Canis lupus familiaris: one gene and its partners. The protein of the gene in region 3 interacts with the protein of the main gene of each other region in a biochemical or structural test. Links are inferred from orthologs where the notes say so. Each region holds a gene or a part of one and is shown on either strand. Other genes may lie near its edges. The genes, in order: SERTAD1, E2F1, CDKN2A, NPM1, CCND2 and TRIP12.

What was found.
Region 1: the proteins of CDKN2A (region 3) and SERTAD1 form a complex in vitro, tested with the Homo sapiens proteins (2 studies listed by BioGRID). The link is inferred for Canis lupus familiaris from reciprocal best matches to the Homo sapiens genes CDKN2A and SERTAD1.
Region 2: the proteins of CDKN2A (region 3) and E2F1 form a complex in vitro, tested with the Homo sapiens proteins (2 studies listed by BioGRID). The link is inferred for Canis lupus familiaris from reciprocal best matches to the Homo sapiens genes CDKN2A and E2F1.
Region 4: the proteins of CDKN2A (region 3) and NPM1 form a complex in vitro, tested with the Homo sapiens proteins (3 studies listed by BioGRID). The link is inferred for Canis lupus familiaris from reciprocal best matches to the Homo sapiens genes CDKN2A and NPM1.
Region 5: the proteins of CDKN2A (region 3) and CCND2 form a complex in vitro, tested with the Homo sapiens proteins (2 studies listed by BioGRID). The link is inferred for Canis lupus familiaris from reciprocal best matches to the Homo sapiens genes CDKN2A and CCND2.
Region 6: the proteins of CDKN2A (region 3) and TRIP12 form a complex in vitro, tested with the Homo sapiens proteins (2 studies listed by BioGRID). The link is inferred for Canis lupus familiaris from reciprocal best matches to the Homo sapiens genes CDKN2A and TRIP12.

What each region holds. Positions count from the first base shown.
Region 1 is NC_049222.1:114,052,873-114,057,099, reverse strand, and holds the start of SERTAD1 (SERTA domain-containing protein 1), read right to left. Parts: upstream 2,801-4,227; 5' UTR 2,641-2,800; intron 2,189-2,640; exon of another isoform or gene 2,034-2,188; intron 943-2,033; coding exon 229-942; 3' UTR 1-228. UniProt on the Homo sapiens protein: Acts at E2F-responsive promoters as coregulator to integrate signals provided by PHD- and/or bromodomain-containing transcription factors. Stimulates E2F1/TFDP1 transcriptional activity.
Region 2 is NC_049245.1:23,405,724-23,409,653, reverse strand, and holds the start of E2F1 (transcription factor E2F1), read left to right. Parts: upstream 1-1,130; 5' UTR 1,131-1,145; coding exon 1,146-1,406; intron 1,407-3,930. UniProt on the Homo sapiens protein: Transcription activator that binds DNA cooperatively with DP proteins through the E2 recognition site, 5'-TTTC[CG]CGC-3' found in the promoter region of a number of genes whose products are involved in cell cycle regulation or in DNA replication.
Region 3 is NC_049232.1:41,340,029-41,344,150, reverse strand, and holds the start of CDKN2A (cyclin-dependent kinase inhibitor 2A), read left to right. Parts: upstream 1-1,322; 5' UTR 1,323-1,334; coding exon 1,335-1,460; intron 1,461-4,122. UniProt on the Homo sapiens protein: Acts as a negative regulator of the proliferation of normal cells by interacting strongly with CDK4 and CDK6. This inhibits their ability to interact with cyclins D and to phosphorylate the retinoblastoma protein.
Region 4 is NC_049225.1:41,653,174-41,656,673, forward strand, and holds part of NPM1 (nucleophosmin), read right to left. Parts: intron 3,385-3,500; coding exon 3,327-3,384; intron 2,976-3,326; coding exon 2,892-2,975; intron 2,803-2,891; exon of another isoform or gene 2,709-2,802; intron 1,896-2,708; coding exon 1,794-1,895; intron 1-1,793. UniProt on the Homo sapiens protein: Involved in diverse cellular processes such as ribosome biogenesis, centrosome duplication, protein chaperoning, histone assembly, cell proliferation, and regulation of tumor suppressors p53/TP53 and ARF.
Region 5 is NC_049248.1:5,498,240-5,502,434, reverse strand, and holds the start of CCND2 (G1/S-specific cyclin-D2), read right to left. Parts: upstream 2,801-4,195; 5' UTR 2,490-2,800; coding exon 2,295-2,489; intron 486-2,294; coding exon 270-485; intron 1-269. UniProt on the Homo sapiens protein: Regulatory component of the cyclin D2-CDK4 (DC) complex that phosphorylates and inhibits members of the retinoblastoma (RB) protein family including RB1 and regulates the cell-cycle during G(1)/S transition.
Region 6 is NC_049246.1:42,403,406-42,407,584, reverse strand, and holds the start of TRIP12 (E3 ubiquitin-protein ligase TRIP12), read left to right. Parts: upstream 1-1,379; 5' UTR 1,380-1,519; intron 1,520-1,836; exon of another isoform or gene 1,837-1,857; intron 1,858-2,064; exon of another isoform or gene 2,065-2,170; intron 2,171-4,179. Other genes in the region: FBXO36 (F-box only protein 36), read right to left, coding at 297-457, 776-932. UniProt on the Homo sapiens protein: E3 ubiquitin-protein ligase involved in ubiquitin fusion degradation (UFD) pathway and regulation of DNA repair.

The DNA of each region.
Region 1 (4,227 bases), on a different chromosome or scaffold from region 3:
AAATCACATTCCAGCCACCAGGCCCTGTGATCCCATCCCAAGGGCCAATCCCAGACTCCCCTCATTAGTCCTAGACAAGAGGACAGAGGTGAAGTTGCTCAGGACTGGATTCTGTCTCTCCAAAGGCCCTCTCTCTGCTCTAAGGAAGCCAGCTGTGTCTTTCCAAGGAGAGTTGGTCCAGCCACCAGGCTCAGTTTGGACACCAGACCACCATCCCAGTTGTGGGGATCAGCGCCCTGGACCCGGTGGCCGCTCCAGTGCCTGTGTGCCCACCAACACGTCCAGGAGGTAGTCCAGCTCAGCCTCATCCAGTTCCAGAGCCTCCTCCTTGCCAGGCCCATCCTCAGGGCCAGGTTTGAGGCCCTCGGAGGCTGGTGCCCAAAGTTCACTGTCATACATAGAGGTGTCGATGTCCTCAAACAGACCCTCAAGCTCATCGTCCAGCAGACAGCCAGTGGCTGGGCCCAGCAGGTCCAAGGCACCCAGGTTGGGTGGGGATCCTCCAGTGGGGCGGCCCGGTGGCCCCTCGTCCACCAAGGGCTGGGGGGCCTGGCTCAGGCCCTCGATATGGCTGAGGTCCTCCAGAAGGCTGGCCATGGAGGCTGAGAGGGCAGCGTCTGAGCTGGCCAGCAGATTGTCAGCCACACAAGGGGCCGCAGGCGGGCTGGGCACAGGTGGCAGGGTAGGTTCAGGTGCCATGGATGCCTGGATGCGCCGCAGCGTGTTCACTACCAGTACCAGGTGCCGCAGGTCCGGCTCACTCTGCCGCAGGCTGTGGTGGAGCTTGAGCACAGAAAGGTCCAAGAGGGAACTGGAGGCCACGGCCGGGGGGGCCTGTGCCACTGCTGGGAGGCTGGGATCCAGCCACCAGGAGTCCACTGCCAGGGCTTCCTTCTCCCGCTCCTCCTCCCGCTTGCGCTTCAGACCTTTGCTCAGCATCATCTGCAGGGAGGGAGGAGTCATTCAGTTATGGAAAGTCAATGTTAAGTTAAAAACCCTGTCTCTGATAACTTATGTCTGGTGTGATCTTGAGCAGGCCATTTAATTTCTTGAACCTGTGCTTTCTTAGGGAAACCTGAAGATATGAGTGATCATAGTATCTACCTCATGGAGCTGTTATATAGAGTAAATGTGGTAACGTACAAAAAAGCACTTACAACAGTGCCTAGTACATTGTAACGATTCTTATTAACAAATACTCTTAATAGCTATTATTATGTATTTCTTCAGTGAACCATGTGAAATGCCCAAAATTCAATCTTTTTAACTCATGAAAGCAGCTGTTTTACATAGTTCCATCCGACACTTACTGTCTACTACCCATCAGACAAATAAATAAATAAATACAGGAAATGTAGAGGTGTGCTAGGAAGATATTCAAAGGTTCTGGGGAGTGGTCACGGAAGGCTCCTCCGAGGTGACATTTTAGCTGACCCTTCCTCAAGCAGGAGGAGCCACCCACAGAAGGACCAGGGGAAAGCATTCCGGGAAGAGAGAACAACAAGGGCAAAGAAAGACCTGGAGGCTGGATGAGCATGAACTGAAAAAAAACAAAACAAAACAAAACAAAATAAAACACCAGTGTGGTCAGCGCAGAGTGACACGGAAGGGGACCGGGTTTGGAGAGCAAGCAGAGGCAAGGAGTTTGGATTTTACTGTGAGTGTCATTGAAGGATTTTGAGCAGGGAACACGGGTGGTGTTGTGAACTGATTAGATTTCCAGAAGATCCCCCCTCGGCTGCTTCGAGTTAGATGAGGGTGAAAGGAAGGGAAACGGGGAAGAGCGCGGTCCTGAGCTCCATTCAGAGGCCACCGCGCTCTGGGGCGGGTGATGGTGGGGGCCTGAAGTGGAAGGTGGAGGGCAGTGGACATGGAAAGAAGTTGGTTGCTTCCGGATTTCTTTGGGAGGCAGAGTAGACATGGCTCGCTGGGAAATCCTGACCGGCACCGGGGGGTCACCAAGAGAACTTTGAGGACCCACACTCTCCCCGAGATAGGGGCCCCTGGCGTTCTGGACGCCAGGCCCAACTTACTTTCTTGAGCCTGGAAGCTTGAAGGCTCCAATCCCCTTGCCCAACAGGACCTTAAAAGCGACTCCTCACACTTCTCAAAACGGTCCTCGCCTCCTTCCCCGAAGACCCGGGAGTCCAGAACCGCAGGAATTCAGGCGCCCCCCTCCCCGGACTCCGCCCCCCCGTCCCGGCGCCCCCTAGCGGCGCCAGAACGGCTTTCCCCGGGGATTCCGGCCCCTCGGACCCCGGGATCCTCGATACGGCCCCACGTCCTGGCTGTCGTTCCTGCCCGCAGCGCAGGGCCGTGCGGGCCGGGAACCCCGAGGGCTGTTCTGCTCTCTCGGCCTGTGCTCGCTTCCGGCAGGCAGTGGAGGCGGCTCCTCCCGAAGCGGCGGCGGCGGCGGGGGCGGGTGAGTCACGCAGCCGGAGCCAGAGAGCCGGCGCCTCCGCCCCCTTCCCGGGCTGCGGCGTGATTCACCCAGCCCGGCCGGGCGACACTCGGGGGCCCGCGCATCTCGATCCCGGGCAGCCCCGGCGCGCACCGGCCGGACCCGGGGATCGAACCTGCCAAACGACCCCCTCGCGGGTTTCCCTTCTCGCCTCGGCCCCCTTCACTTCATTTACATACCTAGCTCACCCGCTGCCAATCAGAACGAAGAGGGATCCACGCGCAGCCAATCAGGGAGCGGCGACGGCAGCATCGCTCGCTCGCTCTCCTTCAGCAGCCGGCGCCTGGGTCGGTAGACGCAGTTCTGACTCCGGCGCACGACTCCAGGCTCCTGACTCCCCTTAACTACCGCCCACTCCCGCGGTGGCCCCGCCCTCGGCCCGCGATTGGCCTTGGGCGGTGATGGGCGGGGCCTGGAGAAGGAAGGTTCGAAGGGAGGGGAGGGTGGCTTCAGGGCGCATGCCTGGCGACTGTGTAAGGAGCCGAGGCCAGGTGGGGTGGCTGTGTTCACTGCGGGGCAGTGGCTGGGAGGGGTTTCTTCCTTCTCAAGGTGTGAGCCCCTCACACCTGCCCGTACATTTGCCAAACCCAGCAATTGAGCAACTTACAGACCCAGTCCTAACAGAGGTCTGCACTCTAAGCCAGATAAGCATGGGTTCAAATTCTGACCACTTACTCAACGTGCGATCTAGGGAAAAAAAAATCCTTGGACCTCTCTGAGCCACACACAAAGTCTGTTAAATGGACAGCTTCTTGCCTACCTCTTGAGAGTCGGGAAAATTAAAATAAGGTTGTGTCTTTAAGAGCACCATAGCGCACTAAGCAAATGCTGAGCAGTTGGACTCAATAGTGGTTACAGGAGGGGGAGGGGGAGCCGGTGGGGATAGGAATAGAGCCACTGGAGTCACATCCTGGGCTCCATTCCCTAAGTAGCTGTGTGACCTTGGGCAAGTAATTTTAATCCCAAAGGTCTCAGTTTCCTCACCTTTTTAAAATGAGAGTATTTTGAGGATTAAAAAGAATAATCACACAGGGGCCCGAGGCAGGCTCAGTCGAGAGCATGTGACTCTTGACCTCTAAGTTATGAGTTCAAGGCCCCCGCGCTGGGGGCAGAGATTCTTTTTTTTTTTTTTTTTTTTAAGATTTTATTTATTTACTCATGAGAGACACAGGCAGAGGGAGAGGCAGGCTCCCTGGTGGGAGCCCAAACAAGATTCAATTCTAGATCCCAGGATCATGACCTGAGGCAAAGGCAGATAGATGCTCAACCGCTGACCCACCCAGGCGTCCCAGGTGTAGACATTTCATAAAAATAAGATCTAAAAGAAAAAAAGAGGGGCGTGTGGGTGGCTCAGGTCATGATCCTAGGGTTCTGGGATCAAGTCCCACATCTGGCTCCCTACTCAGCAGGGAGTCTGCTTCTCCATCTCCCTCTACCCCTCCCCCTTGCTCATGCTCTCTCTCAAATAAATAAAAAAAGAAAAAAATAATCCCACAAAGTGCTCAGAATGGTGCACAACATGTCCTTTTGTTGGTAGTAATAGCTGTTGTGGTTATAGCACAGGTGCTTAATTCAAGGCAGGACACCTGGGGTCGGGTATGGGTAGACAGGAAGTTAACGCTTGTCTGGTAAACTGACAAGGGGACTTAACTTCTCCAAGTAGCTCATTTGCTAACTCTTTTTGAATTGTGGGAAGAACTGTTGTGAATAGAGTTCCTGGCCAAAGTAAGCTCTAGAAAATGCTAACTAAACTAGTTGATTCAGGT
Region 2 (3,930 bases), on a different chromosome or scaffold from region 3:
CTCACGTCTCTGCCCTCAAAGCTGGCACAAGGCCTGGCACAGAGGAGAGGACAATATTGGTCAAATCAGCTGACCTGAGCAATGAGAAATGGCTGATGGAGAGGTCCCAGGGCCTCCGGATTAACTGCATTTTCATGCTCAGCACCCTTACCTCCTCCCTTTGTGAACTCTAACGTGGAGTTAATGGTGGAAATTCCTCCTCATATTCCAAGCATTCGTTACTTCTATTCCTCTCCTTCTCTTTTCACAAGACCGAGCTCTTCAAGGTCTGAACTAAGAATGGGGCACAGAGCAGGCTCTCAAAAACGTTTGTTGAATAAATGGGTGAATAAATGAGTTCAAGCAGAAGCTGTGCATCGGCTATTGAAGAGATTCCAGCTAAAAGGGGGCTTACAGGAAAGCCCCAAGCTGTATTGGGCCAGATGTCCCTCCTCATTTTCTAACAGCCCGCTTCTGCTGGGGCTCCGGGTGAGAGGGACAGGGCAGGTGCAGGATTTGAAAGTAAATGGTATAGATGGGGCAAGTTGAGGATGGGAGCGGCAGCTGGGGCTTTGGAGACAGGCCTGACCATAGAAAAAAGGAAGGGCAGTTTCTAAGTGATTCAGACTAAGGTTGTTGGGGCTACAGGTGGCGGAGTCTAGGGGGTCACGGGAGGTCCGAATACGGTGTGAAGCGCAGAACGGACACTGACCCAAAGGGCTCCACATGCCGGGACCCGGAGTCCGCGGGGCGTCGGGGTGCGAGCCGCGCCACCACGCCCGGGGTAGGGACAGTCCCGGCTGGGGGCGGGGAGTGCGAGAGCTCCTGGCACCGCCCCGACAAAGCCTGCGCGCGCCCGGCCCCGCGATTGGCCGCGCCTCCTCGCGCCGACGCCCCGTCCCGCCCACCGCCGCCGGTCCGGCACGCTGCAGCCAATGGACCCCGTCGCCGTCGCCTACGTCACGGGCCCGACAGCCAATGGTCAGAGCGCTCGGCGGCTCGTGGCTCTTTCGCGGCAAAAAGGATTTGGCGCGTAAAAGTGGCCGGGACTTTGCAGGCAGCGGCGGCCGGGGGCGGAGCGGGATCGAGCCCTCGCCGCGGCCTGCCGCCATGGGCCCGCGCCGCCGCCGCCGCCTGCCACCCGGGCCGCGCGGGCCGTGAGCGCCATGGCCGTGGCCGGGGCCCCCGCAGGCGGCCCATGCGCGCCGGCGCTGGAGGCCCTGCTCGGGGCCGGCGCGCTGCGGCTGCTCGACTCCTCGCAGATCGTCATCATCTCCACGGCGCAGGACGCCAGCGCCCCGCCGGCCCCCGCCGGCCCGGCCGCGCCGGCCGCTGGCCCCCGCGACCCCGACCTGCTGCTCTTCGCCACGCCGCAGGCGCCCCGGCCCACACCCAGCGCGCCGCGCCCTGCGCTCGGCCGCCCGCCGGTACGGACACCAGGGACACAGGGCCGAGTGCACGTCTGGACCCCCGTGCAGACCCGGTCGGGGCGCGGTTTTTGGCCCGGAGGCAACGGGGGCGGGGGGAGGGGGTGGGCCGAGGCTCCCGGGCTGGGCGGGGTCGAGCCTGGGTTGGGCCTCCGGGCCCCGCCCCGGGATGCGGGGTGACCTCGGGCCAGTCGCTGTTTGCTCCTCTGCTCTGGGCCTCGGCTTTCCCCGAGCCGCTCGAGGGTCAGACTCAGTGGTAATAATAGCCCACGTGTATTCAGCTGGTGTTGCCTGCATGCCAGGTCTCTGGCGAACTTCGAGCCAGAACTCACAACCATGCTGTGAGCTCAGTGTTGTCACTGTGCCCATCTGAACGGAGGCCCGGAGAGGGGAAGTGACTTGCCCCCGGTCATACGGCTGCAAGTGGTGGGGCTGGGATTTGAACTGAGGCCTGCTGGCTCCAGACCAGAACTCGTGGCAGGGTAGTGGACAGGGCCCCTTGAGGAGGTCGAGGGGGCTATCCTGGGGCCAGACTGCTGAAAGAGTCATTGAGGAGACCCTCCTTCCTGCCTAGATGCTCCACTGCCAGGTGCAGGCCTGGGCCTCTGGGCCTCTGGGGACAGGCCTCCTGGCTGGGAGGCCTTCTCTGCAGGGGCGGGGTGGCTGGGCCAGCTGCTGATCCCCTCCCTCTGCCTGTCCTTCCATCTGCCACCCTCCACCCTCACAGGCCCTGGTTGCCATGGAGCCTCATTAATCAGGCAGGCAGACCCCTAGGCCCCCAGGGAAGTAATGGGTGGGCTGGGCCTCTGGGAGCTGGAGTGGAGGCCCCCAGTGCCAGGAGAGAGTAAATATTCCAGGGAGATGCCTTGATAAAGTGCTCCCTGAGCAGCAAGAGGCTCAGGAGCAATTTGGACTGGGGGCCCCAGAAAAGATTGCTTAATTACTGGAGAGCAGGGCCTAGAGGCCTGGAGCTTGGACCTGTGAGCTGCAGGACTGGGCGTGGAGACCAGCTTGACTGTCAGGGCCTGTGGGTGAAGGTGGGGCATGGAAGGCTGCTGGCAGGGGGCAGGGGCCAGGCCAGCCAGGCAGGAGGGGGTCTCAGCAGGGGGCCTGGAGCAAGTAGGAGGGGTGAAGCAGAGCCCGGGCAAGGAGGTGGAAGCTATCCAACTGCTTATGGGGGCCTGGGTGGCAGCTGGTCCCTGAGGCATCCCGGCAAGTCTCCCCTAACTCCCTTGGCCCCTCGCCCAGCCTAGCTCTGCCTTCCTTCCGGAATCACCAAGACGCTAATAATAATAACAATAGGAGCCACCATTGTTTTGAGACTGTTTTATATGTCAGGCTGTGTGCCAAGCACTTCACCCAGTTAACTCTCTCAACAACCATCCCCTTTTACAGATAGGGAAGCTGAGACCTAGAGATGATAGGTCATTCAGCTAGTGGAATGGTGGGACCAGTCCAGACTTCCTGAGCTGTTAACTAGTTAGCCACTGGGATGCCTTGCCTCCTAGAAATGTTAATAATACAGGTTGAAGGAAGTTAGGAACCCTTCTGATGGGTAAAGGGAGGAGGATTGTACTAAGGGTGGGTCACCTCTATCCCAGGGGCCTTTTTTCTCTGCAGGTGCCAGCCTGGGGCTTGGACCTGAAAACTGCATTTAGCTGACTGACAAGTACTTAGCCGACCTGGGGCTGTAGAAGCTGAGCTCCAGGCCCAGAGGGCTGCCAGAGACTGGGCTGAGGAAATGTACCCACCCCACCCCCAGCAGTGTCAGGGGCAGCCTTGTGGGCCTGAGCATTCCATCCATTCTACTGTTGAGTTAGTGAACTGCCCAAAAGGTACTAGACAATGGGCAAAGAAGGAGCCTCTGCCCTCACAGCTTTGAAGCACTAGTATCCATTTTCTGCCGGTGGGTGGGGGTGAGGGCTGGCACCACCCCAGAGCTGAAGTCCAGAAACACCCCCTCCAAGACTCTCCACTCTTGTACCTCTGGTCAGCCACTGGCCGATTGAGCTGTGGCCTCCTCTGACCCTCTGCACTGACATTTGTGTGAGGCAGTCTTTGAAACAAGCTACGGGTTCAGCTTCTGCATCAGTGAGCATTCATTGAGCACCTCTAGCATGCAAGACTCTACAACTCAGCCATTCCTCCTGGCACTTCCTGTCCACCTCTATCCTGTTGTCATAGCTGTTAAAAAGCAAATTAAAACATTTACTATAGAAAAAGTTAAGAGGCTAAAAAGTTGAAGGATGCCAACACCATTCATTTTTCCTCCTGTTTTCTTTTCCTAAGCCTGTTTTTTTTTAAAAAAGATGGTTGTGACAGCTTTTTTTTCCCCTTAAATTTTAAAAATTGTAGTTTTTCCTTTGTTTCTATGTTCAAACAGTAGATCATCCCCATTTTATAGATATAGTAACAGTCCCCCCATGGTTGTCCTCCACCCACATACCATACAGAGGTTACCCCTAGAATGGATTCTAGAATATTAGACACTGAACCAGAGAAAAATGTTTCATGTTTTTAATCC
Region 3 (4,122 bases):
GCGGAGGACGGAAACGAGAGAAATGTCGCTTTAATCGGGTTAACTGGCTCCGAGACCGCGTGCGCCTCCGCTGGGGGGGGGGGGCGATGGGCGGCGGGGGGAGGGGGGTGATGGGAGACCGGGAAGGGGCGGGGGGGGGCGATGGGCGGCGGGGAAGGGCGGGGGGGTGGTAATGGGCGACGGGAAAGGGGCGGGGGGGCGATGGGCGGCGGGGGGAGGGGGTGATGGGCGACGGGGAAGGGCGGGGGGGGGTGGTAATGGGCGACGGGAAAGGGGCGGGGGGGGGGCGATGGACGGCGGGGGGAGGGGGTGATGGGCGACGGGGAAGGGGCGGGGGGAGGTCGATGGGCGGCGGGGGGAGGGGCGGGGCGCCATGGGCGGCGGGGGGAGGGGGCGACGGGCGACGGGGGAGGGGCGGGGGGGCGATGGGCGAGGGGGGCGCAATGGGCGGCGGGGGGAGGAGCGATGGGCGGCGGGGGGAGGGGCGGGGCGCAATGGGCGGCTGGGGGAGGGGCGACGGGGGAGGGGCGGGGGGGGCGACGGGCGACGGGGGAGGGGCGACAGGGGCGCAAGGGGCGGCGGGGGGAGGGGTGATGGGCGGTGGGGGGGGCGGGGCGCAATGGGCGGCCGGGGGAGGGGGCGACGGGCGACGGGGGAGGGGCGGGGGGCGACGGGCGACGGGGGAGGGGCGACAGGGGCGCAATGGGCGGCGGGGGGAGGGGTGATGGGCGGCGGGGGGGGGCGGGGCGCAATGGGCGGCCGGGGGAGGGGGCGACGGGCGACGGGGGAGGGGCGGGGGGCGACGGGCGACGGGGGAGGGGCGACAGGGGCGCAATGGGCGGCGGGGGGGGGGGCGGGGCGCCATGGGCGGCCGGGGGAGGGGGCGACGGGCGACGGGGGAGGGGCGGGGGGCGATGGGCAGCGGGGGGAGGGGCGGGGGGGCAGCGCCCGGCTCGGGGAGCGCAGGCGGGGCGGAGCGCGGAGCGACGCGGCGCGAGGGCAGCTGTGGGGCGGCCCGCGGCTCCCTGCCCCCGCGGCTCGGTCGTGCTCCCCTGGGGGAGCCGTGGAACCGAGACGGCAGAGGCCACGCGTGGGGCGACTCGTTTCGCAGCGAGTTGAGAGCGGAGGGCGCTCTCCTGGATTGAAAGAGTCGGGTTGGAGGAGTCGAGGGGCCGAGTCTGGGGGCCGCTTCCGCCGGCCCCGGAGGAGGGGAGAGGAGGGGAGAGGAGGGGCGGGCGGGTCACGAGAGGCTGGGGCGGGCCGCTGGCGCCCGACGGCCGCGGCGGGAAGGAGGGAGGGAGGGAGGGAGCCGGGGGCCCGCGCTCGGGAGCAGCATGGAGCCCTTCGCCGACTGGCTGGCCTCGGCGGCAGCCCGGGGCCGCGCGGACGAGGTGCGGGCGCTGCTCGCGGCGGGGGCGCCTCCCGACGCGCCGAACCGCCTGGGTCGGAGCCCGATTCAGGTGGGTGAGCGCGCGGGCGGCGGGAGGAGGCGGTGGCGGACGACTGTGCGGCACAGGGTTTGCAAGGGAGTCCTCCAGGTCTGCCGGTCGCTGGTCGGGGACGGGGAGACTCCCTGGTGAGGTCCCAGGTGGTGTCTGGAGCCCGGAGCTTCCAGTGTCCGCGTCCTGGGGGCAGAGGAAGCCGCGGGGGGGGGGGGGGGGGGGGGGGGAGGGGAGATGGGGAGGCACGTGCAGGGCAGATGTCTGGTCTGAGATCGGGAGGGGGGAGCCTGTTCGTGTTAATATAGTCCGAGGTGTGCTCTCCATCTGATACACAGTTACGAACGTAAAGCAAGATTTTAAAGAAATGGAAGATTTGTTGGGCCCACTAGGCCGGAACTCATAGACCCCTGAAGGGAGCGGATCATCTTCTGTGCTAGCGGCGATTGTACTGGAAACCTTCTGCTGTGTAAATTGAATAAATATTCATTGAAATTGTTCAGAAGCAACTGCATGTTGTGTTTATTTTTACTTTAACCGTGTATGGCACATCTGTGCTTGTGAGAATTTAGGGAATACAGACAGACATAGATGAAGAAAAACAGTGTGATCTTGCCTGAGATAATGCCGTCGATTTAGCTACCATTTTGAGGGTACCTCCTATTATTTTTGTTACTTTTGACTTGCTATAGATTAACGCAGTTGAGAGAGTTTTGGATTCCTCACGGTTCAGAAATGTGGTTTCTTCCCTCCTGACTCCGGTTGTGGGTGGGGGTGGGGGTGCTGGGTATTTGCTGTTGTTGTTTGCCTTCACTAAATTCCTAAATCCAGGCTAAAAAAAAAAAAAAAAAAAACCCAAAACCAAAAAACCCTATTTCTCCCTGTTCGTCACCACCCTAGTTTTATTCCCAGTGTTGACAATGATTTTGGATTGTGAAAAATAAAATGTATGTGAAACAAAGGCTCACTGCACAAATTCAAGCATAACAAGACAAAGGAAAGTAACTGTACCTGCAATTGCACAGATTTCACAAGTCATCTTCCTTTCCTGAAACAATGCTACATAGGATAAATTTTATATACCTTAACATACATATATAAAAATAAAAACAAAATGCCTTAAAACTTGAGATTATTTGGGATTTTAAGTGTGAAGGGATTTTGAGAGTAGAGAGGTTGTGTGATGGTAGAAGAAAACCATGAGTCCTTTAAAAAGAATGCATGCATGATTTCTCATTTCTCTAAGATTTTGCTCAGAGACTGAGTGTGGCCTTGAAGTTTGGAATATGTTTGAAGAGACTTTGTTTAAATACAAAAAGAAAAAAGTTGGATAATTAGTTTTAACAATTTTTTTAATAGGGAAAATAAGAACATAGAGAAAAGAGTGCATGGTTTTGGTTTAGAACCCTAACCAACCTTGTGTTTAATACAAAACTAATTAGTTTATAGAAAATTATAATTACTTTAAATATCTTATCAAATGGATTTAAGCACTCTACAAATATTCATTTAATCGATTCTTTTTCTTTCAGCTTTGGATTGCTATTTAGATTTAAGTATTTAAGTGTTAGGTTTCTTTCATACTTTAATACTGCAAAATATAATGAAAACCTTTAAAATCAGTTAAGTGTATGTTACCTTACATGGGAAAAGAGGCTTCGCAGATGTTCCTTGGCTTAGAGAAATAATTATTTACGTTTAATGCAGAATGTAATTAAAAATAATTCCTTTTTATACAGTCACTATAAGTCTAGCTAATATAATCAAATAGTGGTTAGCCTAAAAGAAAATTATCTACCACTGCCATCTGCCATGTAACACTCAAATTGTAAGGTTGCTGTGATTGTAGATACTATTTAAAAAATCCTCTTTGGTAATGACTTTGTTTCAAAGACGATTTATCAAACAAATGAAGGGAGCACCTCCTGTTTAATGAACTCTCAGAGTATATAAACTTGGGAAGTTTCTTAGTTTCCTATTTCTGCTGTAACAAATTACCACAACTTTTGTGTCTCAAACCAACATAAATTTATTATCTTATAGTTCTGGAGGTTGAAGTCTAAAATGGATCCACAATGCTGCATTTCTTTTGGAAGTTCTAGGGGAGAATCTGTTTCCAACTTCTAATGGCCATCAACATTCCTGTGCTCATGGTCCCTGCATCTTCTTCTCTCTGACCTCCATTCTTAGATCTTTCTTCTGTAACCTCATAAGGGAATTTGTGATTACATTGGGCCCATCCTGATAATCCATGTTAATCTCTCTCAAAATCCTTAATTTAATCACATCTGGGAAGCCTCTCTTCCCATGTAAGGTATTATATTCACAGCTTTCAAGTGTTAGGTAGTACACATCTTTGGGGACATTCTTCAGCTCATTATGGGAAGGAATTTGGGGGCTGGTTAGAGAACCCTCATTTTATACTTAGAGTGAATTTTAACATTCTGGTAGGCTAAGTGTATATTAAAAGTTTTTTAGGAATTAAAGATTTGTTGTTGTTTTCACTTTCACTTTTTAACAATTATTATGTCCTGGGCTTGGATATACAACAGAAAACCATACAAAATCTCTGGGCCTTATATAATTTTGTATCAAAATGGGTGGGGGGGCTATAGGAGGTTAGGCTATAGTTCAAGCCAGTTCGTCTCTCACTCTTTTGCTATTGTCATGCCTCTGACAGACA
Region 4 (3,500 bases), on a different chromosome or scaffold from region 3:
AAAATAGGTTAAGATCAGAAGTATGGTTAAGATCCTTAAATTGCCTCTGTAACCTAGAAAATAAACCTCACTGTAAATCCCATTTTTAAATTATTGTCACATACATTCTTATTTGATTCATTCAAGTATTTATTGAGCAGCTAGGGAGACACAAAGGCGATTAAAACATGGCCAAAGAGGTAAAGCAAATGCGCAAATCATAGAAAGCAAAGTGTAAGGGGTCACTGAATCACAGCAGTCAAAAGAAAAGTGCTTTAGGAGATCAAGAATGAGATTGCTTCCAGCCTGGAAGGGGGTGTGGGTGGGTGGCAAAACAGGAAAGGGATTTGAGACTTCAGTCTGGATTGTTGATGACAGTCAGTATGGACTATATTTGTCTCTCCTTTTCCTCTCTCCCCAGCTTTGGGTTTATTTTACCAGTAGTGCCCAGGACTGTTCAATTCGCCTGTAATTAAACCAAGGAGATAGGACCATATTAAAATGGGGGGGGGGGATCTAAAAAATGTCATTTCAGCATTGTATGAAAGGGATAAAAATAAAACAGTGATACCAGAAGCTAGAAAGGTATGCAGTAGTACTAAAGCAAAAACCAACAAACACATTTTGGTTCTAAAGGTTTCCCAACTGACTCATCACTGCACAAAAAAATTTACTGAAACCAAGTAAACTTATAAAGCAAAGGAAAAACATGGGGAAACAGAGAGTCAGCAACTTTTCCTCACCATCCCACCTTTACTCTGAAGTCCGAGTTTACTAGGTTTAGTAAGTTTAGTTTCTCAATCAAGTAAGTAGCAGGTAGAGAGCTAATTTCTTCTCACATTTCCATTATTTAAGACAAAATGGTAACTAAATATAAGCGTTCAGAGATTCAAGATATTACCATATATAACTGGTAATTTCTTGGTATAAAGAGCAAATAAAGGGATCCCTGGGTGGCTCAGCAGTTTAGCGCCTGCCTTTGGCCCAGGGCGCAATCCTGGAGTCCCAGGATCAAGTCCCACGTCAGGCTCCCGGCATGGAGCCTGCTTCTCCCTCCTCCTGTGTCTGCCTCTCTGCCTCTCTCTCTCTCTCTCTCTCTCATAAATAAATAAATCTTAAATTAAAAAAAAAAGAAAATAGAGCATATAAAGATTCAAATTTGTTGGAAAATGTTTGACTAAAATCAGTCATGAATAATTATTGTACTAACCCATCAGCAACCAAGCAGTTTCCACTTTTCCCACAGCCTGTAAATTTATAGAAGACTCAAACGCCCTCTGCTGGTTCTATAGCATATTACAACTAAAAAAAAAACTCATTGAACTCCTTTTAACATCTAAGGTCAGAATTAAGCTTAAAACCAACTTACTGGTCTTTTATATATATATAAAAAAGTACATATATATATATGTAACTTCAAGTACACACACACACACACAAAAATGTCAAGGTGAGAAATGAATACAAAAAACATGTTTCTGAAAAAAGAAAAAGCATAGCACAAAAGGGGCAAGATTTCAAGATTAAAAAAGTAAGGAACAATCTAGTTCCAAAGCCATCACAATGGTATTACTCTAAAAGAGGAGGGACAGGACGCCTGGGTGGCTCAGTGGTTGAGTGTTTGCTTCAGCTCAGGGTGTGATCCTAGGGTCCCAGGATACAGTCCCACACGGGGCTGGCTTCCTGCATGGAGCCTGTTCTTCCTTCTGCCTGTGACTGCCTCTCTCTCAAGAATAAATAAAATCTTAAAAAAAAAAAAAAAAAAAAAAGGAATAAAAAAACCCATCTAGGTTTTAAGATCCTTTTATACTCACTTTTTCTATACTTGCTTGCATTTTTGCTTTAATGTCTTCTACAGAACTAGGTCCTTTCGGTGTTTTGGGAGTCTTTTCCTGTTTTTTGAAAGATTCTTGACCCTGAAAAAAAAAAAGATTAAGGTTCAAAAGGACATAAAGGGGTGTCTCTTACGACCCATCCTACCTACCTGGATTTTCTCAAGAAAAATCATTCTTATTTACAATCCTTCCTTGTAAAAAATATAGAGTTGAGTTGTTTTAAATAAACATCTCAACAATTGTTTCTTATTCTTAATATATCATTCCTGAATAAAAACAAGAATAGTTTGAGCTTGCTTTTTATATTCAACATCATATCAGATCAGTTCTACACTTGTACACCATCAAAATTGAAACCAGAAGGCCCCAAGAATGAAGCAAGTAAATGTACCTTGATATGCCTTAGGCCCATCCCATAGCTTCTAATAATCTCCAAGCTGGGGTACTATGGCTCTTTTAAGTTGCTAGATTCTAGTACACAGCCAGAGTTGAGAAAACTCTATGCCATAAAATACTTTAAAAAACTCCTTACAGGACACAACTGTTTATAGTGCAATAAAAAAATTTTTGTTGGCATCCTCCACTAGGGGATGGATCCTCCACCAACAAACACAATGTTTTATATATGTATTTTCTATTGGAGTTTGACTTACCAACATATAGTATAATACCCAGTGCGTATCCCCTCAAGTGCCCCCCCTCAGTGCCTGTCACCCAGTCACCATCCCCCCACCCACTTCCCCTTCCACTACCCCTTGGTTGTTCCCCAAAGTTAGGAGTTTCCTGTTTTGTCACTGTGATATTTCCCACTTACTTTCTCTCCTTTCCCCTATAATCCCTTTCATTATTTTTTATATTACTCATATGAGCGAAACTGTATAATGACTGTCCTTCAAGAATATGGAATGCTTCATGAATTTGCACAGGCACCATGCTAATCTTCTCTGTATTGTTTCAATTTCAGTATATATGCCGCCGAAGCGAGCACACCAACAAGCACACTTTAGCACTTTAAGATATCAATTAAAACTTCTAACTACTTCAGTGAAGGTTGTGGTTTATGTGTATGCCACTTACTTTTGTTCTTGGTGTTGATGGTTTTGAGTCTTTTCCATTCTGGTTTGATTTTTGTGCATTTTTGGCTGGAGTATCTCGTATAGACTGCAATTAGAAATTAATCTTAATCAATGCTCTCCTACACATAACAGACATATGAGTCCAAGTAAAACAGCCCCAAACCACTTAAACAAAAGCAATCAGGGTAAGACAAAACAATCATTCTGACAAAAGGTATTAAGGGCTATGAAAGTGGGAGAAGACCACAAGGATAAAGAAAATAGATCACTATTAGGAAAATTTTTAAGATGAAAATCCTATTCAGGACTAATTTAAGTACAAGATCAACAACTCCTCCCAAACCAGCTTTTGTTAACTACAAAACAAAGCAGTAAAAAATTTCCATTTCTGTTACTAGCTATTTCTGTCAGCCTTGTACCACTGTGTTGTACTTACTTTCTTTACTGGAGCCTTTTCTTCAGCTTCCTCATCATCAAAATCATCATCATCATCACTACAAATGAAATGAGTCCTTATTATTTTTAAAAAATTTTTAATTTAAATTCGATTTGCCAACATAGAACACTCAGGGCTCATCCCATCAAGTGCCCATCACCTATCCCCCCACCC
Region 5 (4,195 bases), on a different chromosome or scaffold from region 3:
TTGAATTTCACCGACACAACAAATGTCTTGGGGTATCTGGGTATCTTATTCCTGGATGTAGCCTCAGTGCTTAGTATAGTGCCTGGCACACAGTAGGAACACACACAAAAAAAATTTGTATTTAAAGCGTTATTTCCGGGAAGTGTGAAAATTCCAGCAGTGTGGTAATTTGGGATCCAAAGGATTTGTTTGGGGAGCAGGAGGTAGAAGCTCGCCAGGCCTGGAGAGAGCAAAGAAGGAAGGAGGAATAGAAAGGAGATTGTCATTACCAGCAGCTCCTGAGGCTTGATGGAGTTGTCAGTGTAAATGCACAACTTCTCTGCGGTCAGAGGGATAGTCTCTTTAAGTTTGGAGGCCAGGAACATGCAGACAGCACCCAGGAGCTGCAGATGGGTCTTAGGAGTTGGGACCCCGGCCAAGAAGCGATCCAGGTAATTCATGGCCAAAGGGAAGACCTCCTCTTCGCACTTCTGTTCCTCACAGACCTAAGATGGGAGCGGGAATGGGTTGGGTGGGGGTGGTTGGAGGGAAGAATATCAGGAAAACACACATACACAAAAAAAGAAATGAAAAGGCATAACCTATGGAAAGAAGCAAAAATATTTAATTTTTCAGCGGGGAGGGGGAGGGGAGTAGACTATGTGATAAGAATAAAGATGAGGAAAACGGGGTAAATCTAAATGGTCGGTGCTGGGGTACTCCCCAGGAACGTAAGAGAGAGTTGAACTGAAGATCCGAACCGAGGAGGCAAACAAATGCGCAGTAGCCGCCAGGCTCGGCGACGCTCCCTTTGGCTACTGACTTCTTTGCTCCCTCTAACTCACTCACACTCTCTTTTTTGGATTTCGTCATCTTTTCAAAAAATCAATAAAAATATTCTGGAGGCTCCGGGGGTCTTCTTCTTGGTCTCATTCGGAGCCCCGGACCCTGCTCTATCATTCCCGACAATTGAAAAAAATGTCCGGGGGCGTCCTTGCGGCCCAGGCGCCGCTATTGGGGGGGTGGGTGGGGAGAGGTGGGGAAGAGAGGGGGAGGGAGGAGAAGAGGAAGAGCCGCAGCCTCGGCGGCGGACTCGGAGCCTGGGGAGACGGTTTCAAAAAATAATTAAAAATCGAGGAAATATCCTAGAAAAGCCCTTTTGGCGTGAAAACCCCACAGAGGAACCAGGCTTCCCGAAACGGAGATTTCGGGTGCCGGAAAGGTCTGTATCTCAACCCCTGGGGCTTTGGATCCCGAGGGGAAAGTTGGAGGGGTGAGCGCCGCGGCGGGAGTGTCCGTCCGGCTGCGGCCCGCAAGGGCAGAAACCGGGGACCGTGGTGAGGAGCCGGGGGAAAGGCGAGGAGCGGGGCGCCGCCGGAGAGCACCCGGGGCTCTGACCTCTCCGTTGGGGGCGCCCCGACATCCCCCCTACACACACCTCCTCCCCCCTTCCTACCCCACCCAAATCTCCGCACCGAGAAAACTGGAAAGCCAAACTGTAAGTAACCTTCGTGAGGTGGGGGCTGGGGGAGAGGGTACTATTGCAAGTGGGGGGGCCGGGCTAACGGGGTGCGGGGGGCGAGCGGGCAACGCTTTCCAGCCTTTCCAGCCGGAGTTTGCAAAGCAACATGGCGAAACCACGGCAGGTCCAGAGCCGTGCATACGTGGGCACACGGCTCGCTCGGCAAAGATTTGGAGCAAGGGTAAAGAAGTGGTTCTTTTGGGTTCCCCTAAAACACACGTTTCTTCATTGCGACTTCCGGGGCTCCTGAATTCTCCGTTTCTCTCCTCCTCTCTCCTCCCCCCCTCCTCCCCCCCCCCCCCCCCAAGTGCCAACGCGGAGTCGCAACCACATGCGGGGACCTGAGGCTAGGACGATTTTGCTCTGGCCTTTGGGGGGCTGCTCTTTTTTACTTTGGGGCCCCGATTCCACGCTCCCACTCCCAGCTTCACTGCACCGAAAGCAGCCGCAGCTTCGCAAAAGACAGATCAGGATGGGGGTGGGAAGAAGAGGCAGCCACATGCAGGCACACGCGCGCGGGATGCTCCCCCACCCCCGCCCCAGGACAGTCTCGTTTCTCCCAGATTTTCCTCCTCCCCCCCTCCCCTCCCCCAGTTCTTCTAGCATCCTGCAGGGAACAGAAATGAAGCCACGCGTCTCGCCAAAGGGCGAGGGGTAACCTCGCGCGCGGGAGTGCGGAGGCGAGCGCGGATCCTGCCATCTCCCAGTTTTAGGGTCCCTGCGCTGGGGGCGGGGGTGGGGAGCGTGGGCGTCTATCCGGATGGGGACAGACGGAGTCCGTCTGCAGACCTACCTCCAGCATCCAGGTGGCCACCATCCTGCGCATGTAGGGCTGGATGTCCTTCTGCACGCATTTGAAGTAGGAGCACTGGGGAAGGTAGCGCTCCTCGATGGTGAGCAAGTTCTGCAAAACGCGGTCGTCGTAGAGCAGGTTGGCGTCCGGCACGGCCCTGCGGACCGGGTCCACCTCGCAGCACAGCAGCTCCATGGCCAGTCGGGTACCCGCTCGCTCCCCTGCTTTCTCCGGACTGGAAAAGTTGGGGGGTTTTGAAGGGGGGAGGGGAGAGGGTTCCCCTTACCTCCTTCCTTTGGCTAAATAGGGGGTTTTCGAGAGAAAAGTTATGGGGCAGAGAGAGACAGAGGCTGGGGAGAAGAGAGGAGAGGGAAGGGCGCTGGGAGAGGAGAGCCTCGGGGGCTGCTAACTCTGCCTGCCCTCCCCTTCAAACTTGTCTCGCTCTCCCCTGCTCGCTCTTCTCTGCTCTGCGAGGCAGTGACGCAAACTGGCTGGGCAGTTAGTTCTCCTCCCTCTCGCCTCGCTCCCCTCTCCGGTTCCTCCTCCCCTTCCCTCCCCTCTCGTCCCTCCCCTCCTCCTTTCAATCTCTCCGTCCCTCCCTCCCTTTCCCCTCTTGTTATTTAGGAGAACAGCAGCTGGCCCGACCTAACTTCAAACGCGGTCCCCCGCCCCCCCACCCCTCTCCTTAGCTCTCCGAGGCCCTTTCCCTCTATCCAGCCCTGCATGCCAGGGGCCCCGAATAGGGGAACCCACAAAAAAACCCCACCGATTCCTACTTATTCCCTCTAATTTCGCACATTCTGTGGGCGTATCGTGCCAAGTACGACCCTCCAACTTTGGCTTTCTCAAAATTGACCTTTCCATTCCTGCCCATGCATGTAAGATCCGAGAATGACGAGTGGATCACTTGAAGATGGGGTGGGCTCCTGCAATTTATAAGCAGATCCCTTAAGTGAAGAATAAGGAGGGCGATTTTAGAAAATAGCAACCTCGGATATCCAGAGATAAAGATTCTGTCCCGGACGTTTGAGCTCCTGGATCACTTCGGGCTGTTTCAAAAGCCCGATTAAAGGGGCCAGAACAACGCCCCCCCACCCCACCCCGCCTGTGTGTGCGAAGAGGAAGGAGAGGAAGGGGTGGGTGTTAGGAGGGAGGGGGCGGCTTCTCCGACGTGATAGAATGTGACCCTGAAGCAGAAACCCTCCCCTTCTTGGGGGCGCTACAGGCGCCACGGGGAGCAGGAGAGAAGAGGTCTGGGCTGCCGCAGGCTGGGGGGGGGGGGGCAGGGCTACCATCGGTTCTTCCGCGGCCCGCGGCCACGCAGGAAAAACCCGCTTCCTCGCCCCTGCATCTGCTGACAAGCCGCCCGAGGTGTCTGCGCCGAGCGTGGCCACACTGATACAGCTTTCTAGGAAATAGCCCGGGAGGGGGAGGGGAGGAGAGGGGGGCGAGGGAGGGATTAGGTTTGGCTCCCCCTCTCTCCCCCTGCGCAAACAACACCACCCCTTCCTTTCCTCGGAGGCCCGAGACTTCCATCCTGTGTCCTCCGCTGGCATCCTCGCCGACCCCTCCGGGTTCATGCCTCACCCGCCAGCCAGGGCTTTCTCCCCGGGAGCCGGGTTGCGGTGGGGACGCTGCCAGCGCAGTCGGCTCCGACATGTGCTCTAACGCATCCCCGGGTCAAGGCTGCTTTTACAGGGGATATGGTGGCGTTTCCTCACCTTCTTCCTCCCCCCCCGCCCCCCTCCCCCGGGTTTCAGTGTAATTTCACTTGGGGGGGAAGGGGAGAGAGCCCAGCGCCCCCGGCAAGTTGGCGGAGCTGGCACGTGCAGGGAGCATGGCGTGGGTCAGGGCTCGGGACACACCGTGGTCAACCGAGCGCCTCCTTCGCGGAGGCCGGG
Region 6 (4,179 bases), on a different chromosome or scaffold from region 3:
ATAACCTAATCCCCGGGCTTATTGTTGTGGAGCAGATGTCATTATGGGTGGGGCCGACGCGCAGAGCAGCTCCCACACTTCGGTACCACCCCCCGCGCACTTTCAATGGGATAGAAGGGGCTCCCAAAAGGTAAGCGGAAAGCTCTCCACGACCCGTTCCTGCTGGCAGTAAGGAAGCTGGGATGTGGTCGCGGTCCCGGCCAAGACCACGAGATTTAAAAAAAAAAAAAAAAAAAAAAAAAAAAAAAAAAAAAAAAATCATCCCCCCCCACCCTTCCCCCACGGTTAACTCCTACCCTGGAAGAGAGATCGTCCCTCTCTCTCTCCCCTCCCCTGCCGGCTCCTCCTCGGGACACTTGGCTGAGTCTTTCTTTCTCTGCTTCCCACGCGGAGGTGAGGCTGCACCGCTGCACGCAAGCCGGGGACGCCTGCTCTTCCTCTTCGCGCGGAGGGAACTCTGCGGGTAGGAGCCCCGGGTGGCAGGGAGGGAGCCGGCGGCGACGTGGGCAGGCAGAGGAGCTCGCCGGGGACGCGCCGGGCCGGGGCTGCCTACAGACACGCGGGCCCCCGAGGAGCCGGCCGACGAGGCCGAGGTGACGAGGGAAATCTCCGCGCTCCGGGCTCCGGGCTCCGGGCTCCGCGCTCCGGGCCCCGGGCCCCGGGCTGGGACCGCACGCTTCCGGCGGGCCACCGTCGCTCTCGGCCTAGCGCGGCCCGCGTCCCGCGCTCGGCCGGGGCGGCGGGGACTTAGGGTTAAACCGCGCCTCGCACTTGCCTGGGACCGGGTGACCAGTAACTGGTAATAGTCTTTGCTCGGCGCTGGGCCTTGTCCTACAATTTCGAACAGCGTCTCCGGCAGCCACGACGCCATCTTGGGACGCCACCGGCGTCGCTAAGACAACCAGGAAGGGGCGGGGCTTCGCTGGGGTCATGGGGCCAAAGCCCTAGTTTAAATCGAACCCCGCTTTTGAGCTAGCGGAGGGGGGCGGTTTGACTTGGGGTGATCGCCCCGACCTCCGAGAGGCCCAGGGAACTCTCGTCTGTGAAATTTCAAGCCTCAGGTCCCCGGTGACCCGAAAGGGAATTAGTTCCTGCTACCATGGAGGGGAGGGGGTGACCCCGGCGGAGGGATACCAAGCACGGCCCCACATTCCCCTTCCTGGTCCCTCGAAGGGATCGGGAGGAGATCTCGGGCCGCTGGGAGAGTCGCTCCGGGCGGTGGGGGAGGGAGGGGCGATGTGATGGGCCGCGAGTAGGCAGCGGGGCCTTTCCCGCGGACGAGCCCGGCAGCCCGAGCCGGCGGGCAAAGTAGTTCCCGGAGGGTGTTGGAACGGGCGGGGAGGGAGGCGGCGCGGGCGGAGGCGCACGCCGGCCGCGGTGCTGCGGCTCAGCTGATAATTGAAGGGACCCGAGGAGCCGCCGCCGCCGCCGCCGCCGCCGCCGGGGGGGGGGGGGGGGAGCGAGTGGAAGTTGCTGCCGCGCCACCGAGTCCGGACCGGAGACTTTGGGGCCCAACTAGGTAATTGGGGCGCAGTTCCGAGCGGCCGGGCCAGGCTTGGGGGAGGGGGTTGTGCCGAGGGGTTGGGAGGGGGCAGCGGGGGGGGGGGGGGGTGGGGAGGAGCTGGGAGAGAAAGTCCCAGGAAGCCCGGTTGTGTCATCGCGGCGATTCGGCCCCGGCTCGGCCTGCTCCCGGCGGCGGCGGCGGCGGCGGTGGCGGGGCCGCGGAAGGACCGGGCCGGGGGTTGACGGGCGAGGCGCTCGAGGGAGGCTGGGGCCGGGCGGGCGCAAGGCGGGGGGGCTTCTCTGGGTTCCCCCCTCCGGCCCCCGGCGATGAGGAGGGCCCTTCGCGGAACCGGGGTAAGGCGTGCGGGTGTTGGGGAGCCCGGTGGGGGCCGGCGGGGGGGGCGGAAGTGGGCTTTGGGGCTCGGAGGGCGTCTAGGAAGCGAGAAAGTGGGGGGCCGGAAGTGCAGGTGGGGGGTGTGAAGACGGCGAGGGTTCCCCGGAAATGGGATGGGGGGCCCGGAAGCCGGGAGAGGGGAGGCTCCGGGGCCCGGGGGGGCGGGGGGACGACGGACGGCCCGGAAATGGAAACTAGGGAGCAGCTCGAGTGACAACAGTTGTGGGAAGCGAGGGTCAGAGGAGGGAGAGGCCGGAGTGACTTTAGACCGCAGTAAGGGGTTTCCTGCGGGGGTGGGGGGGCGCGGGGGGGCGGGCGAGGCCGGAGACGGGGTCCGCGCCGGGCCGTGTGGGTAGAGCCGTGGGAAGTTGAGGCTGAGCGGGGATGACGGGGGGGCGGGCGTGCAGGAGGGTCTGGCGAAGAGGCCGGGAAACTTGGCGGAGAAGCGCAGAGGAGCGGGGACGTCGGGGGGTGGGGGGTCCGGGCCCCGCGAGGGAGGCGCCCCGATTGTCACTCCAATCGTCTCCGCATTCAGAGCGAGTCAGGCGATTAATTTATTTATATGTGGATTACATAAAACCCATTATACCGTTTGTCCCTCCGGCTCCCCCTCCCCTCCCCTCCGCTCCCCTCCCCTCCATCCTCCCCCCTCCCCCCCCCCCCCCCCCCCCGGGAGAGAGTGGGTTTTCTAGTTCAGAAGCAAGTTGGAGGGGAGTTCAGATAACGAAGGTCGGGAAATTCCCAAATCCTGCCCTTCGTGGCGCTTCTAGATTTCCATTCCTACAGGGGGAGAGATTAATAAAGATTTAAGAAAAAAAAAAAAAAAAAGAACACACACACACAAATGAAACGAGCCCCATGCAAAGCGGGAGGAAGTCACCTATTTGAAGTGCCGGTGTTGGGGGGGGGCGGGACGGACGGCGGGGAATTGGCTCCCCTGGTGAGGTCGGGAGAGCGCGGAAGGGGCTGCTGCTAAACCCTTAAGACAGGTTGGTTGGATTTTGATAAGGCTTCGTTTTCAGCATCGTGCCCGGCGAGGGTGTGTGTGTGTGTGGGGGGGGGGGGGGAGTTTTAATTGCTTCGTGAGTTCATTGAAGGAGGGACCGTGTCAGCGGGCGCGGGGCGCGGGGCGCGGGGGTCGGCGCCCTGGGGCGGGGGGTGCGTCCCGGGTGGGCGTCGCCGCGCTCGGGGCCCGCCGTCCTCGGATCTCGCCCGGGCTGCCGAATCACCCGATCCCCGGGCTTCCCTCCGTTCTGTAGGCCCCGGAGTGCTGTGTTCAACTTGATTCCTTCCTCTCTCCAGTCTCTCTCTCTCTCTCTCTCTCTCTCTCTCTCTCTCTGTGGATATGTTCTTGGCATTTCGGGTTTTTTTTTTTTTTTTTTTTTTTTCTTTAACGAGCACAGAAAGTTGAGGCTTGAGGATTCTCCTCCTTCAACACAACACAACACAAAACAAAAATAATAGGGGTAGAAAGTTGAAAGAGCTATTGAGTTGGGGCAAAAAAAAAAAAAAAAAAAAAAACACCCGACGCTCGGAACAAAGGTCCTGGTTGTTGGGGAAAAAGGCAAGAGGCCTATATAGGAGGCCTGTGTGTGTGTGTGTGTGTGTGTGTGTCGCGGTTACTCGGGGTGGGGGGAGTGGGGGGCAGTTCAGATTGAGGAATGAAAGGGCATTATCAGAGGTTTGGAGACCATCAGTTGCAGATGGGTTTATTGAGGTTCATCTTCATATTTACATTATGCAAAGAGATCAATACTGAAGGTAAATTTTGCAGCAAACAGAATTTCTTTTGAAACGACCCTGCTGCTTCCCTGTTCAGGCCCAGAAAGATTGAATTAGTGTGGTTTTTGTTTGTTTGTTTTTAACATCTTTATGTGATTGCTTGGGGAGTTTTTATTTCATTTATTTTACGCCGAAGAGGGCATTATTAACATGGAGTTTGTGGGCTTTGTCCACATCTGCCTTTCTACCAATGTGCCAATGTGCCAATATCCGTAAGGATTTAAGAATTGCCATGTAATTGACACCAGAATGTTCTTAACATTTATCATTGTTCCTATTCAATTCCCAGTTTTTAAGGAGTTTGAGTGATTTTGTAAGTCCGCTGAGCTGACGGTTACTGTTTAGTTTGTGCCAGTGAACAGGCTTTTTGTTTTAGTTTTTCATTTACTTTCTGAAAGTTTTGGAATACTTTGGCAGTTAAGAGTTCCAGAAGCTGCGAAACTAATTATTTAAAAAATGAAGGGGTTGCTAAGCCAGTGTAAAATCAGTGTTTTTACGTA